2 linked regions of the Pelodiscus sinensis genome follow. The protein of the gene in region 2 interacts with the protein of the main gene of each other region in a pairwise test. Links are inferred from orthologs where the notes say so. Each region holds a gene or a part of one and is shown on either strand. Other genes may lie near its edges.

Region 1 (10,049 bases), on a different chromosome or scaffold from region 2:
AAACAGAAGATTCACAACAAAACATCACACAAAAATATTCAGGGATGCCAAAGCATGCATTAATAAACATTCTGGATTGCCTCTCCTTTTATACTGTTGTTTTATTGGATGAAGAAAATATGTTCCACTTAAAGAGAAGGAAACAGATGGGCAATTTCTTTTTAAAAAATGTATACAGGAAGACAGAAAAAAAAATGAAGAGCCAAAAAGAAATCTAGAATTACCATGCTGTAATACCATTTAAGTTTTGATTATACAAATCATTGTATCGTCCCTCTTGTTTATGAACAGTCTGATATCAAATACCACAAAACTACACAATTTATGCCTGTCAGTTATTCTAAAAATATTTAATGGTGCAAGTTGGCAAAAGGAAGCCATCTAATGGCTATGATGTTCCCACAATGATGTATTTTAAAAGTGCAGATTAATATAAATTTTCATTACATTTTAACAAATGGGACTAAAATGTGCAAGTATCCCAAAATTAATTGTGACAGTTTTATCTCATTTTTTTGAGTGAGCTAGTCATAATGTAAGGGGACGAGTACTTCATAATCCATGAGAGAATACCACTCACTTGGGCTTCCATTTGGCACTCAATTAAAATGCAGTATTCTTTTTAGCTCTTGAAATTGTAGGGGAAAAAATAGGTCACTTAATAGTAGGATAGTACATATTAAATAAATGATACTTAAAAATTACTTTTAAAATTCAGAAGTACATAAAGAAATAAAGGCTCGGTGGCTTCTGGAAAATGGTATACTTCGTTTAATATTGTAATTTTTTACAAATATATCTGTTAAACTTAAGTTGGGCCGAACACATGATTCCACAATTCTGCCAAGGAAGTTAATAAGTTTAATATTAAAAATTTATCCTATAAAGTCCCCTTTAAAAAAAAGTCTGACCCTTTTTTTTGTGTGTGCATTTCTCTTCGCTTTCCAAAAAGATATGCAGGCCTATTTCATGGTCACCATAAACTTAAGCATAACTTAAGCATAAACAAACAGTTTCAGAAATGTAATTATAAATAGGAGAACTAGAATATATAATGCAATACTAACAGAAAAACATGACTGGGGCATCATTAAGAAATACTTCCCAAGTATTTTTTAAAATAAACACTTGCCTGATGTGTGCCTCCCTTGATTCTGTGACATCCTTTGGAAGAGATCATTGTTGTGTCCATAGCATCTGCAGTCCTCATGTACACGCTCACTTAGCTGATGCCTCCTTTGACTCTCGTAATAATAGGGGTAACCAGCATCTCCATTTTCAGTAACTGTTGCCAACTGTCTTGCAGGATAGGAAGGCGCAGATAGTCTATTGCTTTCTCGCCTCAATATTTCATGAGGTGGCCTCTGAACTGGAGTTCTAAGGAAACTTTGGTTTCTAGAAACTATTCCATCTCCACCAGGAGAGTAGGCAGAAGAACTTGAGTCAGGAAGGCAGATATCAGTACGCCTTGGAATGGTTGGACCATGACGGATAAATGAAGGCATCAGATCTGTAAGAGTAAAACATTATAATTTAACAAGTCTCAGGGGGTAGCCATGTTAGCCTGTAACTTTAAAAACGAGTAGTCCTGTGAAACCTTAAGAGACTGTGGTGTCACAGGACTACTTAATGTGTCATTTAATACAAACTTTACTACCACAAATATCCCAATTAAGAGCAAAATAGGTACACTAATTGTAGAAGCCAGGAAATGCAAAGCTAAAGTTTTCAAAGTAACATTAACTCAGCCATTTTCAACAAATGTACATTATAAAACATGCTTTAAGAACATGTTTAATATGAAACAAACATGCAGAGTCAGAGTTTAAGGCTAGAAGAGACCCTCAGATAAACTACTAGTCTGACCTCAGATGTATCACAGGCCATGTATACATTGCAGCCACATGCACACTAGATCCAACATACAGAACAGCAAGGACCAAAGGGCACCAGTGCCCAAGGCCGTGACTTGCACTCCACACTACAAAGGAAGATGAAAGTCTTCAAGGTCACCACCAACCTGATGGAAGATAAAATTATTTCTTCACCTCCCATATAGTGATCAGTTAGATCTGGAGCAGGTGAGTAAGAACCCACCAGCTTAATAGCTGAAGGAGTTCTCAGAGCCCTAGCTCACCTTGCTTTTTCATTTCGCTATCTCAGATCATCTCATATTAAACCTCACAACGGTCATCTAAGGAACATGTCTCAGTCCATAAAATGTGGATAAAGAGTTGATTAGATTCTAAGTTCTTTAGAGGAGAGGTTTTTAGTTGGTTCCTGTAGTGACTAGCACAACAGTGTCTCTAGATACAAATGCAACATACAAATTATTTGTATTTCAGTAGCTTCGAAGGAACCTAAGCCTGAAGCCCAGTTATGCTAAGCACTATATGCTATTACAAGAGGCAGCTCTTGCTCAGAAGTGTTTACAATCTCAATTCACAAGATAGGCCAAAGATGAGAGGAAAAAGAGCAGCACAGATTTCGGAACTCAAATCTCAACTTCCAATCATGTGCCCTATCATGAAATCTGTATTTATGTAGTTACTGTGAGTATGTAAGCAACTTGCCCACTGTTTCACCAGAAGCCTGGAATATTTTACTGCACGTATATAACAGTATTGATATTTTACAGTATGTATATAACAGAGGTGGTCAAACTTACTGACCTGAGCCTAGTATTACAATCTGCAGAAGTGTGCCTTGTGGGGAGGATCCTCTGGGGCTCAAGCCCTGATCCAGCTCAAGCCCGAGACCTGGCATGCACCTCCCACAAGGCTGAAGCCCCAAGACACCTCCACACCGGGGAAGAAGCAGCCCTAGCCCCACCACTCCATTGCAGGGCAGAAAAGATGAGCTTCCCTCCTCCAGCTTGACAGGCAGAAAATGGGGGGGGGGGGGGGGGTGAAATGAGAGGGTTCTGAAAGCTGCACTTTAACTGTGTCAACCACATGCAGTTTGCGATCTGCAATCTGGCCACCCCTGCTATATCACAGGGCCTAACTAGCAACCCTGTAAATCACAATGCTTAATTTATTAACCATAGTGTTACATTAATATCATGGCATTTAACACCTCAGCTTTAAGGAAACTGCCATAAAACATGGACACTAAAGGCTATTCTGGTTCAGATTAAGGATGTTAAAATGTGTTTAGTTAAGTAATCATGTAACCACTGAAAATGTCAGTGGTTATATGGTTATCCCCACCTGCCACCCTGTACTGATGCCTCTGTATCAACACCCAAGGAGCACAACCTAAACATGCAAAGATCATTTTCCAATAGTACGTTTGCAGATCTTGCAGTTGCAAAGGTAACTCTTCAAACAATATGATGCACCGCTGTCACATTTAGGCTTTGTGTACACTGCTAAAAAAGATGTGTTTTTACCATGGGTTAACCAATCTACATTATCCAGCCTGCCACAAAATCTAGTAGAGGTGGAACCATGAGATAGAACCGCAGGGGGAGGAATCTAGCACTGACCTTGCCGAGCCACCAACTTGAGATAAAAACTGCAGATGCTCCCCCCCCCCCCCCCCCGAGGCCGCTCCCCTCCGGCTCCTGCAAGCCCCCCTCCTGGTGGCTACTCCCCCCCCCCGGCTCCCACAACCCCCCTATCCAGGGGGCCACACACCCCCCGGCTCCCGCAACTCCCACCCTCGGGAGCCACCCCCCCCCACGGCTCCCACAACCCCCCCCATCCTGGGGGCCACCCCCCCCACGGCTCCCGCAACCCCCCCCATCCTGGGGGCCACCCCCCCCACGGCTCCCACAACCCCCCCCATCCTGGGGGCCACCCCCCCCCACGGCTCCCACAACCCCCCCCATCCTGGGGGCCACCCCCCCCCCACGGCTCCCACAACCCTCCCCATCCTGGGGGCCACCCCCCCCCACGGCTCCCACAACCCCCCCCATCCTGGGGGCCACCCCCCCCCCACGGCTCCCACAACCCCCCCCATCCTGGGGGCCACCCCCCCCCACGGCTCCCACAACCCCCCCATCCTGGGGGCCACCCCCCCCACGGCTCCCACAACCCCCCCCATCCTGGGGGTCACCCCCCCCCACGGCTCCCACAACCCCCCCCATCCTGGGGGCCACACACCCCCCGGCTCCCGCAACCCCCCCCCCCCGGGAGCCACCTCCCCGGCTCCCCCCCATCCAGGGGGCCACACCCCCCCGCTCCCGCAACCCCCCCCGCGGAGAGCGCCCCCCCGGGCGCGGGCCGGGCACTCACTGCGCAGCAGCGGGCTGGTCTCCTTCTTGACGTACTTGCCCTGCACCTCGCCGGGCTTGGCGAGCTCCGCGCGCGTCTTCTTCCGGGACAGCATCCCCGCCGCGCGCCGCGCCCGCCCGCATGGCCCGCCTCCATGGGGCCGCTCCGCCGCGCGCTGCCTGCTGGGACACCGGCAGCGCCCGCCTCGCTCCGCGGCAGCGCCCCCTGCGGCGGGGAGGACGCAGCGGAGGGGCGGGGTCTGCCCCTGGCTCCACCCCTTACCCCGTGACAGGGAGGGAGGGGCGGGGCTTTCCTGGAGGAGGGGGAGGAGCCTGTAGCCCCCCCCCCACTATGGGGGGGCAGGGGCCATTCTAGTCCAGGCAGCCTCCTAGGGCCTGAGCAGCAGGCTCTATGGAGCGGGCAGCTCAAAGCCGGGGGCAAAGGCAGGTTCCCCCCCCAGCTCTGGCTCCGCCCCACTCCCCCCCCAGCTCTGGCTCCGCCCAGCTCCCCCCCCAGCTCTGGCTCCGCCCAGCTCCCCCCCCAGCACCGGCTCCACAGCTCCCATTGGCCGGGAGCCACAACTAAGGGGAGCCACAGGGGCCACGTGTGCGGGCGCAGGCCGGGCACGCAGGCTCCCGGGCCAATAGCACCGCTTCATGTGAGCACTGCCCTGACCCCGCACTCCCTCCCGTGCCCCCCTCCCCAGAGCCCACACAACCGTGCACCCCAAGCCCCTCCCCCGGCACTAGCCCTCTCCTGCAGCTCCACTCCCTCACCCCTGGCCTGGGATCCCACACCCTCAGCTCTCACCCCCTCCCACATTCCCACCTGCTGCCCCAGTGAGGGAGGGGCAGGGGGATGGATTAAGAGGATGGGGCCAGAGCAGGACAAAGGTGTGCTAAGGTTCGTGTCCTTAGGAAGTTGGCAACACTATGCCCAAGAGCAGCCCATCGCCTCATCCCCATCACTCAAGGCAGGTGGATGGTCTGTGGCTTCCCAGTTACCTGAGTGGTTCTGACCAGCCGGGCCATGCTCCAATGCACTGTCACGGGCTGGAAGCTGTAGGGAGCCATGGACACATCACCTGTCCTGGGCAGGGGAAAGGAGGCGGCAGGAATTTGGGCTACTCATGGACACAGGATTGCCCAAGCAGCAATTTTCAAAAGCACCTAGTTGGTTAGGGAATCTAGATTTTTCTACAATTGTTGTATTCAAAAGTAAGAGTACACTTTACAATTTTAAGCCTAACCAGTGTCTCTCAAGTGACATGACACATGATGTCAGAACATGTTACTATTAGACCTGAATGGGTCTAATATGAAACATTTTTTCTTTACATTGGAATTAGAGGTAGTGGTCCTGTCAGCTACTTTCTAAGTTAGTCTACAAAAAAAAAAAATCTGTCACTTTCATATGCCCAAGTAGCCCCTGGAATTGCAGTTAAAGTTGCCATCTCCTACCAGAATCTGAAATGGCACCTTCTGCAGGGTTCAGAAGGCCAGCCACCTTAAAACGGGCAGGACAGGTCTAAGGCCAAGGCAGCCCCCTTCATTTCAGCCAGCAGTCAGGGCTATCCCCAGCCATAAGGGGCCTCCCTGGGACAGTTGAGGTTGGTGGGCAGGCCTAGCCGCTCATGAAAGCTGGGGTGGGGCAGGGAGGAGAAGAGACCAGGACACAAGATGGGAGCAGAAATGGGTTCAGTCCAGGGAGACATGAAGGCGGCTGGGAGGCAAAAGAGGGCAGGAACAGGCCCACATTAGGCTGGAAGACACAAGAGGCCTAGAAAAGGCCCAGAAAAGGGTTAGGAGGGGGAAAAGACGAGGGGACATGAAGGGCCAGGAATGAGAACAGACAAGAGTGACGGGGCAGGAGAAAGAGACTGGAAGACATAAGGGGACAAGAACGAACCTAAAGGCTACGTCTACACTGCACAGTTATTTCAGAATAAGCTATTCCGAAATAGCTTATTTTGAAATAGCTTGTCTAGACTGCAGGGAAGCCTCAAAAGTAGTCCGAGATAGCACGTCAACATTAGGGAAGCCTCTCTCACTTTACAGCCTCAGGAAGAATAACTTAGAAGGGCCCTGGTGAGGGGCTATTTCGAAATAGCAGGAGAGGCGCGTCTACACACACCTTCTTTTGAAATAGGCATTATTCTTCGTAGAATGAGGTTTACGGAAGTCAGAATAAACCGTCCATTTTTTCAAAATAACGGCATTGCTGTGTAGATGCTCACATAGTTATTTCAGAATAACGGCCGTTATTCCGAAATAACTTTGCTGTGTAGACACACCCAAGATGAGGCCCAAGGGCAGGAGGACGCAGGAAGGGAACACACAGGATATACATTGTATGTCAGATCACCCCCCCCCTTATGGTGTTGGCCAGGCATAAGGCCTAAGAGCTGGGCCTAGGAAGAAGATTTGTAGGGGAGAGGGGGGCCCCTGATCTACAGAAAAAAAATCAGTTGGGGGCTGCACACAAGTGAGAAGCAAATAACTCAAACCCTCACTGATGTGGCCCTCAGCTGAGGAGGAGAAAGACACTCCCCACATTCCCCTCACACCTCAGAGCCTGGGGGGGAGGGGAAGGGCAGGATAGTAGATTGTGTGCTCCAGCCCCAAGGGGGAACAGTGGGGAGGCTGGAGTGCCAGCGTGGGCTCCCCAATGCTAGGAAAGATCCCCAGGTCTCAGGGGCCGGATTCAGGCAAGTTAGGGGCTGCATCCAGTCCCTGGGCCTTAGGTTCCCCACCCTTGGTCTTGGGCCACCCATCTTTTGTTCCCTTTGAAGGGCTGGTCACCTTCTATTCTGAAAGGGGTTGCAACAAACTCCCTCAGAAGGTGAATTTTACCCCCACAGGCTTGTTCTCATTCTCCAGCCTGTGTTAGATTCCTGGTGGGCCAGTTGCCTAGCAGGTGTCTCACGTGAACACTTGCCCTGACTGAAAAGAAAGAGCCAGTAGGATAATGGATGAGCACGTTGCAAAGCTAGTGGAGGTGTGTAAACTGCACGTTTTTATCACTGCAGCAACGAGGACTCCATTGTGCTTGGTGCTGGACATGCACACAACTATCACTCCCTGCCCCAAGGAGATTACAATCGAAGTGGAAGACAAGGGACAACAAATGGATACTGCCAGGAAAGCACAAGGAACAGAGACAAGATCTGGTCCGTATTATAGGCAGAGGTTGCAGCACACTAGCATCAAAAATGGCAGAGAAACCAACCCTTCAGCAGTGCAAATTAGTGAGCATTCTCTAATTTATTACCAACAGAAAAGCATATTTGAAGTTATATGCCATACCTGGGACCTCAGGAGCTTAGTGCATAAGCCTCTACTGCAGGGGTGGGGAACCTTTCTTGGGTCGGGGGCCACTGACCCACAGAAAAATGAGTTGGGGGCCGCACACAAGTGAGAAGCAAAAAAAACCTCAACACAAACAAACGTGGCCCCGACTGAGGAGAGAGACTCCTCATGTTCCCCTCACACACCAGAGCCTGGGTGGGGGACGGACCAGCCTAGTAGATTTTGTGTGCTCCAGCCCTGCGGTGGAACAACAGAGGAGCTGGAGTACCAGCGCAGGCTCCCCAATGCTGGGGGAGACCCTGAGCCTCGGGGGCCGGCTCCAGGCAAGCCGGGAGCCACATCCAGCCCCCGGGCCTGAGGTTCCCCAGCCCTGCTCTACCGCTTGAGCTGAAAGCCAGTTGGCGCAGCTAAGGTTGTAGAGAAGAATCATTGTTCTCTTTCTTTAAGTGGTTTAAGTGCCACTACATGTGACAGTGAACCACACCCAGTAGGTGGGTGGGTTACATATACACGAACAAAACATGAGGGAAATTTAATCCTAAAATCTATTTAAACATTTTTCTCTATAGCAATGCAATCTAATTATGGATTAAAGATTAGTCTTTCAATAAGAGTATTTACTTGTAACAATGATTAAGAGGGAAAACAATGGAGAATGAAAACAGGCTAAAAGTAAAAATATTTCGAGGTAGGTTCATTATTAATTCACTTTTTGCTCCCTAAATTGGTGTATCTTTTTCCATAATGGAAAATTCATAATGTTTTTATCATTAATTGCAAACCTGTCAGTTTATTACTATTTTATTCAGTTTAAAATTTAGCTTGGATTAGTAAATGCATATGAATTACAAGTGAATAGTGCAATTGGTCTCCACGACAAAATACTCATTTTCATGCAAGAAAAAAACCAAAAGCAAGTAATGAGTACAGTAATTTATATTTTTAATGTCCATATAAACCATTTTGGTTTGTCTTTCTGTTTTACATGATGGTATAAAGACAACTGATGTAATACAGTACACGTGGAACCTCTCTAGTCTGGAACTCTGGTCCTGCAACATCTGTGGTCCAGCATCATTTTAGTTAGCCCGATGTCCACTTATGGGGTGAAGTTTCCCATGGTCCCATAAAGTTTATTTACAGCCACCAGGCCTGGCTCTCAGTGTTCGGTGCTGTTCTTTAGCTCTAATTTACCCCTGAATGTCTTCTAAGAGCCCAGTAAGCAGAGGGTGTGTTGATAATGCAGGTAGACAATACTGACCTCCTGTGGTCTGGCAAATTCTCTGGTTCAGCACTGGTCAGGTCCCAAGTATGCCAGACTAGAGAAGTTCTACCTGTATATTATAGGGAACTGGACTTGACCTCTTGAATTTTTTTCCAGTTCTATGATATAATAAAAATATACCCACTGGTCTTCATCTTTACATACGTTAATTATCACTAATTACAGCATTTGACATTTAGTGGGAACAGAAGCTATTCTGAACGGCAGCAAAGCAACAGAATGCAGTTGTGACAATGATGTCCTTTGCTTTAGATTTACCAACGCAAACTGTTCCCTTAAACCATTTTATACAACATCCATACATGGCAAATGTCAGTTGGGTTGCAATCTTTTTGCTCAGACAAAAATAAAAAAAATCCCTCTCTGAATTGAAATTCAGCTGCAACTGAGTGAGGAAAGGGTGCTAAATTAACCTTTTATCCTTTTACCAATGCAAACAGACACACCACTCTTTAACTGTGCAGATATAACACAATCCCTCAAGTTGTTTGGAATGAATTCATATACAATTCCCCACCCAAAAAACCTCACAACCCCAAAACTTCTCATTTTCACAGCGATTCACATAGTATGGTGTAGGAAAGAATTGATAGTATTTTTTGAAACATTGTAGTATCATCTTTGAATTGGCAAGACCCATTGGCTACGTCTAGACTGGCCCCTATTATGGAATAGGGATGCAAAGCAGGCAAGTCAGAATAGGGAAATCCGCAGAGGATTTAAATATCCCCCGCGGGATTTAAATAAACATGGCCGCCGCTTTTTTTCCGGCTTGGGGAAAAGCCGGAAAAGAGCGTCTAGACTGGCGCGATACTCCGGAATAAAGCCCTTTTCCGGAGGATCTCTTATTCCTACTTCGAATCCGAAGGATCTCTTATTCCTACAGTCTAGACGCTCTTTTCCGGCTTTTCCCCAAGCCGGAAAAAAAGCGGCGGCCATGTTTATTTAAATCCCGCGGGGGATATTTAAATCCCCTGCGGATTTCCCTATTCTGACTTGCCTGCTTTGCATCCCTATTCCGTAATAGGGGCCAGTCTAGACGTAGCCATTGTTTTGACTGTAGGCCCAGTACTTCACGTTTAGTTGATCTTATATTAGTTTGCTGTTGAAGACTGGCATACTTAGAAGGCCTATAGGGTGTAAACAAGCTTCAACCTTTATTTTCAAGCATTGGGGACTATACATGCCTAATATTTCATGGCTCAAATGCACACTATGCAAGGAAGCGTATGCAAG
Region 2 (10,013 bases):
TTTGGGTCATTTATTTTTCCATAGTTTGATAGGGTTTCTTTAAGGGGTGGAGGCCTACTTATGCTTAAGCTGTTTTCACAAACTCTTCTCTGCAAACCTGATCCCACTATTGAACTAATCTAGAGGCAAAACACAAAAACAAGTTAATGTTTTAATATTTCAGTTTTCCTCTTCCTGGGAATCTCTTTAAAGCAATGTGATACTCCTTGTCCATTCAAAGTGTTGCCAATGGTTGTGTTCTTATACAGCTAGTCTTCATCCCTCACTGAAAAATTCTAAGTGTATTTGGACCCAGCAAATCTGGCGTAAAAGATAATCCTGTGTTCTAACAGAAAGTTACCACAACAATCACCCACAACAGTCACCACACAGCCTGAGAGAAAGCTGTTTTTAAAAGGGCCTAGCTACACAGCAGTGTTATTTCGGAATAACTGACATTATTCTGAAATAATATAGTCTGTGTCTACACTACAAGCAGCTATTTGCACAATGTCAAAATAATGTCAAGCTGGGGGACTTCTTACTCTGACTTCTGTAACCTTCATTTTACGAGGAGGAAGGCAAGTCGAAGGAAGAGTGCTTTTTCACAGACTTCCTGCTGCGTAGACAGCGCCAAAAGCCGAAATAAGCATTTCAACTTCAGCTACGCAATTGACGTAGCTCAAGTTGCATAGCTTATTTCAGCTTTAGCCCTGCTGTGTAGATGTGCCCTAAGTGCTTATTCATTAGGAAGCCAAATTTCCCAAGTGTCAGATAAGATTTGGCAGTTATGAAAGATATGAGAGAGTGAGTGAGTATATAACAAAATGCTCCAGGTACTCCCTTAAAGAGACTAGGGATGTTGGGGAGCATGTAATTCGGTAACCGTGTAGCTGACAAAAATTTTTGTTGGTTACACAATTAAGACTCTTGTGTCTCTGCATTTAAAGGATTTTGAGAGCTGGCATGCAGTCAGGCTGGCTTAGTCCTGGCTTGCATCAGGTCCCAGCAGCTACCCCCACTGCAGCTGTGCATTTAAAGTATCTCCCAAAATACTTGAACTGCTGAGCTGCAGCCGAGATAGCTGCTGGGACTCGGCGCAAGCCACGACTGAGCCAGCCTGACTGGGTGCCAGATCTCAAAATCCTTTAAATGCAGACACACAGAGGTGGGGGGGGGGGGGAGAATTGTGTGTAGCTGATAGCATTAACCGATAAGCATCCACATATCGGTTATTCATGTTCTACAGCCCTAAAGAGATGAGAGTCTCTAAGGGTGCATCTATACTACACCCTTAGCTCGAAATAAGATACACAATTTGCACTACGCAAATTGTGTAACTTATTTCAATTCTTTTTCGAAATAACACACTATTTTGAAACATCCCTTATCCCTCATGCAACGAGGTTTACAGGGATGCCAAAATAGCACATCTGCTATATTTTGCAATAGCAAACATGTTCAAAAGATGCAGGGTAGCTATTTCGGGATACCTCTGGTATTCTGAAATAGCCTTGCAGTGTAGACATACCCTAAGTCATTAGCACTTGACAGACTTGATGTATAAAGGCCCAGAAATATTCTGTTTCAGGATGCACAGAAACAGACTGAAATGTACTTGGAACTAACCAACAGAACAGACATAGCCATATTTCACTGTGTAGCACACAATTTATCACCAAGGGGAAGTCCCCTGTCTTGTTTCCTTCAATTAAATAATTTAGCAACTCCAATCACCATACTCTCCTAATTTCAGGTTTTTTGCTTTTGCATGGAACATCAGACAGACAAACAGTATCCCAGCCAGTGAAGTCTTTCCTACTGTATTACAGTAAAGAGGTACAATAAGTTTATTCCAGTTTTTCTTTGCTTTATTATATACTGTAGTCAGCTTTTATTAATTGTTTCTCAATATCTTGTATATCAGAGATATTTTGATTTGTTATCTTATAACTACAGACAGTCCCCGGGTTACATGGATCCGACTTACATCGGATCCCTACTTACAAACGGGGTGAGGCAACCCCGCACTAGCTGCTTCTCCCTAGCAGACCAGGGAGACACGAAGCTAGTGCCCCCCCCCCCCAGCAGACCAGGGAGACACGGAGCGGCTTTTCTTAGCAGACACCTCAGCTTGAGAATAAAGGACTGAGGGAAGTGAGGTGTGGGAGAATAAAACTGAGCTCTGGAGAAATGTTTGGCTAGAGTTTCCCCTACAATATGTACCAGTTCCGACTTACATACAAATTCAACTTAAGAACAAACCTACAGTCCCTATCTTGTACGTAACCCGGGGACTGCCTGTACAGTAAAAATATTCTTAAAAGGTGTTATAGAACATTTCTTTGGGCCTCCCATTGTATTTTCAGTTGTCTAGACCATAAATGCCGCAAGACAAGCCTTCTGAATCTTCTTTCATCCTGAACATAGTCATAATTTTAACATTCATCTTTGATGGTCATAAAATAAGTGCCGTATATAGAAGAATAATTGCTGAAAGGCATATGGCTTTTTTCCCCTAAGATTACAAATAATATATTATCAGATCTCCAGTCTGCTAGGGATGGTGTCCTTAACCTCTGTTTGCCAGAAGCTGGGAATGGACAATGGGATCCGTTACTTGAGGATTACCTGTTCTGTTCATTCCCTCAGTAGAACTGGCATTGGCCCATCAGAAGTCAAGATACTGGGCTAGATGAACCTTTGGTCTCACCCAGTATATCCATTCTTATGTTTTGCTTACTATATTTACATTAAGTAGCATGCAATTACTCTAGGTTGCATCTTTCCTGTGTAATATTTAACCTACTGAAAAGTCTTGAAGTATCTCACAGCTTCAACCTATTCTTAGATTTCTATGACTTATGGTTTCACTAAGGTTCCTAAAACAATGCTGTTACTAGCCTTAGCAAATTGATGGAACCCATGTTTACTGTTAAATGTATCTAATCACTCTTTAAGAAAAGGATAATTTGGAGGGTATTTTATTAAAACACAATGGCACTGAAGATTGGAAATTGTGACGCCAACATTTTAGTAGACATCAGTAGTGCTGGTCTTTGGCCCAACAAAACTCAACCATAATTGTTCATTTTTAAACCACATATAGCCTACTTGAAAAAAATAGGCACCTCTTCCCCCAGGTATGTAATGAACAAACTCCTACACCTTGCTCTGGATGCTGCAAGTTTTACCTTAGAAGAAAAGATTAGAATTTGCTACTCCAAAATTTGCATATGCTTATCAGCAGGGCTCACCAGCCGCGCTCTCTGTCGATCAGCGCATGCGCAGATCGCCCAAACCCGGCTCTTCCAGGTTGTAATCTACTCGCCATGGGCAAGTAGATTGCATTATTTGTCGAGCCCTGCTTATCAGGTAGTCAAATAGTGACTAGAGTAGTTGCTTCCTCCCATCTGTTGCCTCTATCAAAGAGAGTTAGCAAGGGGGGGAAAGCAGGGGCCGGTGCTGGAAGGAGCTGGCTCATGATTCCTGGCTCATGCCCAGTCTCTGATGCTGCACCTCTCCTTTTTAAATGTAGTAAGAGCCACCAGGTTCAGCTGATTCCTGGCTCATGCCCAGTCCCCTGGCTATACTTCTTCTGCCTTTTAAATTTATTAAGAACCGCCCCCTTTATTGACTAATCGAGTAGTCAATAGAAATTACACCAACTACTTGATTAGCTGACTGAACACAATTTAATATCCCTAATGTATGCAAAGTGTATTGCTCTGCCATGTATTTAATAACCTCAGCCCTTTATCATTTATCCATGTAATTATTACATGTGGGCTTTCTACACATTACATTTATTTCCGTTCAGTTGTTTTTTTAATCCCTTCTCGATGAATTTCTAACACTCCCACTGCAGTAGAGTCATGCACCAATACTAGTGAAGCTGTAGTGACACATGCTGAGTAGATTTTTAGCCTGTGGAGAAGAGTCCTGTGATGCTTGTTGCTATGTCACCCATCCCACGGGTCCCTGCTCTCCCTGAGAAAAGCTGGGATGAGTCACCTATGAATATTGCCTGATTTTTAGAGGATTTAACCTTTCAGTGGGAAGATTTTTGTATTTACATTGCCCACACCCACCCTCCCCTGACCACCAGATGGACCCACCTCCCCTCCCCGTCTCCCAGATCGACCCACCTCTCTCATCACCAGCCTGCCCTAGACCAATCCCCCTCACCCCCAGATCGACCCACCTCTCTCATCTCCAGCCTGCCCTAGACCAATCCCCCTCGCCCCCAGATCGACCCACCTCTCTGATCTCCCCCAGCCTTCCGCAGACGGACCCACCACTCTGCCCAGCCCCGGGACTGACCCACTTTTCCCATCCCCCCCCCACCATCCGCCAGAGCTACCCCCCCCCTCATCTCCAGGCTCTCCCAGACCGACCCACTCCCTCCTCATCCCCCAGATCGACCCACCTCCCTCATGCCCTCCAGCCTCTCCCTACCCAGGCCAGGTCCCGACACCCCAAGCCCCGGCCCCTCACCGGCGCGGGTTGCGCAGCTGCACGGTCTCCATGGCACCCTAGCGAAGCAGGGGAGGGCACGCACTCATTCCTCCATGACTCCAGCCGCTCACTCCCGGCGCTTTTCCAACGGCGCTTCCGCTTCACTTCCGCCTCCTCTCCATACGCCGGAAACAAGGGGCGGGCTCCCAGTCAAATGGGCTCATAGAAGCTGCTGCGCCGCCCACCTCCCCGGGGCGTGGTCCTTCCACTGGCTCCGCCCCTCCTCACTCAGAAGGGGCGGGCAGTTCCCTCGCGCGTTGGCTCAACGTCACCTCCTAAGGCAGGGTGTGTGCTGAGGGGTGAAGCAGCGATTTCCCAGCAGCCTCACCGCTTCCACCTATTTTTGCATACATTTAAATATTCCGAGCAAATAAATATCTCCCTGATTGCACTAAGCAGTGATTTTGAAGCCCACAACCCAGGCGCCAAAGCCCCTTGGTCTTTGCCCTAGAAACTACTCTCATCCTTTGGGACTCTGCTCTGGGAGTTGGAAGCAGCCCAGCAGCTTCCTGGACCTCTGCTTTCCTACTCAGTCAACCCTCTCCTGAGTGTGCTCCAAGCCTCCAACCTGTTATGGTTAATGTGGGGCAGAGGACAACAGCCTGCCCAAAGCAAATGGCCCTCAACCAGTTGGGAGGGGGCCATAAAACTCATGTAAAATTTGAGGACATCACATGAAAAAAAAGGAAGACAGGAAATATGGTTAAAGGTTAAAAACCAGGACACTGGAAGAGCAGCCTGAGCAAAGAACTCTTAACAGCACCTACTTCTCCTTACAGGTGTCTAAGGAGTCAGTGGGTGCAGCCCACAGGAACCTCTGCTTGCAGGTATGACTTAATGAGAGATCAGAAAATAGGTATTTCAGTTGCACAGCACCAACCAGCTTCCTCCTTATGGTTGTGATGGATGGCCAGCACCAGGACACAGTTGACACTGGCAACTCTGTGGATTCAGGAGATGGGTTGTGCATAAATGAGGCGAGGAGAGAAGTGGAGCTAGAATCTCAATAAGGGGTTCTAGAGAAGCTGTAAAAGGGGCTACAATATGATGTACCGTAGCTAAGTCTCCCTCTGGCTGCAGAGATGACAGATGTCAGGGGAGTCATGAACTGCATTAGGGACATATTTGGGACCATGTCCCCATGGAGGAGCCACCAACTCTCCAACAAGCCATTAAAACAAAATTAATACAGGCTGTCCCACTGGGTTGAATGTGCTCCAAGCTGCCACTGGAGAAGATGATCAGTTATTCACTCAAGAACTTGGCATAGTTCATCAACACTAGCTCCAGAAGCTAAAGCTAATTGCAAGAGGAAGAGGAAGACTTACCGTGTCATCCCAGGAGAAATGGGAGCTCCCCCCTGTTATTAGCAGAAGAGGGAATCAGAAGAGAGATGTATTCTCTGTTCTCCTTTCCTTTTATCCAGGGGTTAGCAACTTTTGGCACACAGCATATTAGGGCCCTGAGACAATTTGTTTATGTTGCGCATCCTCATGCACAGACTTCTCTGCCCCTAGTGGCCATAGTTCCTAAGTTTCCTGTACTCCTGGTAGTACTAAGTCTTATCTATATCATCACTGACAGGTGTTTGTGTAACCTGCTCTTTAAAATCTCCAGTGATGGAGATTCCATAACCTTGCTAGGCAATTCATTACAGTGCTTAACCACCCTGATAGGAAGGTTTTCCTAATGTCCAACTCAAAATGCCCTTGCTGTAATTTAAGCTCTTTGCTTTTAGTCCTATCCTCAAAGGTTAAAGAGAACAATTTTTATTCCTCTTTCTTGTAACAACCTTTTATGTACTTGAAAACTTTTATCGTATCCTTGCTGAGTCTTCTTCTCTGATCTAAATAAACCCATTTTTAAAAAAAATATTCCCTCATAGTCATGTTTTCTAGACCTTTAATCATTTTTATGACTCTCCTTTGAATCTGCTCCTAGTTTGTCCACATTTTTCCTGAAATATTGTGTCCAGAACTAGACACAATAGTCCAGCTGGGTTGGGTGGGTGGGTGGGTGGGTGTGTGTGTGTGTGTGTGTGTGTGAGAGAGAGAGAGAGAGAGAGAGAGAGAGAGCCTGGAGCTGGGGGTGAAAGGAGCTGTGGCTGAGGTGATAGCCCGGAGCTGGGGGTTAGAGGAGTTGAGGGTGTGTGATAACCCGGAGCTGGGGGTTCAGGGTACATGGGATGAGGGGAGCTGTTGCTGAAGGGAGCTGGGGGTGAGGGTGATAGCCCAGAGCTGGGGGGATTAGGGGAGCTGGGGGGGAGGTGATAGCCCAGAACTGGGGATTAGGAGAGCTGGGGGGGGGGGGGGGGTGATAGCCCAAAACTGGGGATTAGGAGAGCTGGGGGGGGTGATAGCCCAAAACTGGGGGTTAGGGAAGCTGGGGGGGGGGGTGATAGCCCAGAACTGGGGGTTAGGGGAGATGGGGGGGAGGTGATAGCCCAGAACTGGGGGTTAGGGGAGCTGGGGGGGAGTGATAGCCCAGAACTGAGGGTTAGGAGAGCTGGGGGGGAGGGTTAGGGTTAGGGGAACTGGGGGGTGATAGCCTAGAACTGGGGGTTAGGGGAGCTGGGGGGAGGTGATAGCCCAGAACTGGGGGTTAGGAGAGCTGGGGGGGAGGGTTAGGGTTAGGGGAACTGGGGGGGAGGGTTAGGGGAACTGGGGGGGGGTGATAGCCCAGAACTGGGGGTTAGGGGAGCTGGGGGGGAGGTGACAGCCCAGAACTGGGGGTTAGGGGAGCTGGGGGGGAGGTGATAGCCCAGAACTGGGGGGTTAGGGGAGCTGGGGGGGGTGATAGCCCGGGGCTGGGGAGTTAGGAAACCGGGGGGGGGGGGGTGATAGCCCGGGGCTGGGGAGTTAGGAAACTGGGAGGGGGGGGTGATAGCCCGGGGCTGGGGAGTTAGGAAACCGGGGGGGGGGGGTGATAGCCCGGGGCTGGGGAGTTAGGAAACTGGGAGGGGGGGGGTGATAGCCCGGGGCTGGGGAGTTAGGAAACCGGGGGGGGGGGTGATAGCCCGGGGCTGGGGAGTTAGGAAACTGGGAGGGGGGGGGGGTGATAGCCCGGGGCTGGGGAGTTAGGAAACCGGGGGGGGGGGGGTGATAGCCCGGGGCTGGGGGTTAGGGGAGCTGGGGGGGTGATAGCCCGGGGCTGGGGAGTTAGGAAACCGGGGGGGGGTGATAGCCCGGGGCGGGGGGGTGTATCCCTCCCCCACCACCGACCCCCGCCCTGCGCCAGGGGAGCGGAGCCTCCAGCCGGGGCAGTTCCGGAGAAGGGGCCGGGCTCCCGGGCGCAGGAGGCGGGGCCGCCGGTGCCGGCCGGCAGGAAGCAGTAGAAGGCTCTAGAGCGGAGACTGCCGCTCTCCGAGCTCCATGGCCCGCGCGGGCCGGGTGTCCGAGCTGCGCCGCGCCGGGAACGAGCAGTTCCGCAGCGGCCAGTACTGCCAGGCGGCCGCGCTCTACAGCCAGGCGCTGGGGCTGCTGGAGGCGGCAGGTACGGGCGGGGGCGGGCCCCGGGGGGGCGCAGCTGCCGTGTCCCGTGGGGGGGGAGGGCGCGGATCTGCTTCCCCTTGGGGCCCGGGGTCTGAACCCGCCTTTCCCCTCAGCCTGGGCCCGGGCCCTGGTGTTCAAAACGGCCCCTCCCCCGCATTCTGGGCGGAAGCGCCTTTCCCTCCCCTAAAATCACTGCTCTTCCCTGGCCCGTGGACTTGGGGAGGGTGTTAAAGCCTCCCCGCTCCCCTCCGTTCCCCCGCTTTCCCGTGGGCGCAGAGCTGCGTGTGCTCGTTCCTTTGAGCGATGGCATATGGCCCCGTGCCTGTGCCTTACACCGCTGCTGGGGCCCCAGGAGGTAGGTAGAGGCACTGAACCAGGTGCTGGGGAAAGGGAGACCATCCCTGTAGTGTGACCTCCACAGCTGAGCCCGATCCAGTATTTACAGGCATGGCTATTCAAACACAAATCACTAGGACACTGCAAGGGTTCATAAACTCTTCTCCCCCCCCCCCCCCCATTTGAAAATGGTTTCATATAGACAGCAAATGGATGTCCCTTTAATAGTCTAGGTGACAAAATGTCCACAAGGCTGCACCCCCACATCAGAGATGGGCAACCTAAGTTAGTGAGTGGGCCACATGAGTGGCCCTTCTTCATCTCACTGGGCCACATGATTGTTGTAACCAAGACAGTCTCCTGGGATAGGGTAGTTTTGGTAACTACGCTTGCATGCCTGGAATTTTCTGGTGTGCCGACTGAACCTTAGCGGCGCTTTGATTGGATGCAGAGGGAACGCATGGCTTTTACAGTCAGTGTTGTGTGCAGTCAGTATGCACCTCGCTTCACGTGCCCTTGCCTTAAGTGCATGTCACTTTAGTAATACCTGAAAGGAAAAAACTATGTAGACAGAAATGGCTGCGTCTAGATTGGCATGATTTTCCGGAAATGCTTTTAACGGAAAACTTTTCCGTTAAAAGCATTTTCAGAACAGAGCGTCTAGATTGGCACGCACGTTTTTCTGCAACAGCACTTTTGCGGAAAAGCGTCCGTGCCAATCTAGACGCACTTTTCCGCAAAAAAGCCCCGATCACCATTTTCGCGATCGGGGCTTTTTTGCGGAAAACAAATCTGAGCTGTCCACACCGGCGCTTTTGCACAAAAGCTTTATGCAAAAGGGACTTTTGCCTGAATGGGAGCAGAATAGTATTTCCGCAAGAAGCACTGATTTCTTACAGTAGGAAGTCAGTGCTTTTGCGGAAATTCAAGCGGCCAGTGTAGACAGCTGGCAAGTTTTTCCAGAAAAGCGGCTGATTTTCTAATAAAACTGGCCAGTGTAGACATAGCCAAATCAGCAGAATCTGTCAACCTTGCAGATGGGCAACAGTAAAAGTGTTTTGTAGGCCACACATAGAACCCCAATGGGTTAAGTGTTGCCCTCTGGCCAGAGGTTGCCCACCAGTGCCCTACACTGAACAGCTTTATGGACATATACAGCTTGACTTTGTTGCCATGCGTGTGTAAAAGAGTGTAAAGGAAGACCGCTGCAGGTCTTTAGGCCGCAAACTTACCCTGCCATAAAGTTACTAGTGCTTTTTGAAACTCTTCTGCAAGCCATGACGTTTCACTAACTCTGACTACCACCATATGGTGTGTCTACCTATTGCACCATTGAAAAGGCCAAATTACTGAATTATGGACAGGTGAAAAAGAGACAGCCTGGCAGCTAGGTAGTTGTAAGCTCCAAGCCTAGAATCTGATCCTTACGTTGGGCAGTTCACTTAGCCTGCCTCTCTCTCTTCATCTTTAGGACAGGGAAAATAGTGTTTTTCTGCCTCTCAGGAGGCCTGAGGATTAATTAGCTAATGCTTTGGAGATAAAAAATGTTGAGTACTATTGCTAGTACCGATAGTGATATCAGCAGTAAACCTCTCTGTTCTTTCTCCATCCGTGACTTGAATACCTGTAATTGCCACGGTGCATGGAGTCTTGCTTTCTGCAGCAAGTGGCTGCCTCAAATGAGGTAGC

The links.
Region 1: the proteins of STK4 (region 2) and SAV1 interact in binary tests that used the Homo sapiens proteins (3 or more experiments, as listed by UniProt). The link is inferred for Pelodiscus sinensis from reciprocal best matches to the Homo sapiens genes STK4 and SAV1.

Annotation. Positions count from the first base shown.
Region 1 is NC_134714.1:6,344,403-6,354,451, forward strand, and holds the start of SAV1 (protein salvador homolog 1), read right to left. Parts: upstream 4,426-10,049; 5' UTR 4,336-4,425; coding exon 4,242-4,335; intron 1,511-4,241; coding exon 1,133-1,510; intron 1-1,132. UniProt on the Homo sapiens protein: Regulator of STK3/MST2 and STK4/MST1 in the Hippo signaling pathway which plays a pivotal role in organ size control and tumor suppression by restricting proliferation and promoting apoptosis.
Region 2 is NC_134728.1:23,719,847-23,729,859, reverse strand, and holds the start of STK4 (serine/threonine-protein kinase 4), read right to left. Parts: upstream 4,644-10,013; 5' UTR 4,509-4,643; coding exon 4,477-4,508; intron 1-4,476. Other genes in the region: TOMM34 (mitochondrial import receptor subunit TOM34), read left to right, coding at 7,869-7,989. UniProt on the Homo sapiens protein: Stress-activated, pro-apoptotic kinase which, following caspase-cleavage, enters the nucleus and induces chromatin condensation followed by internucleosomal DNA fragmentation.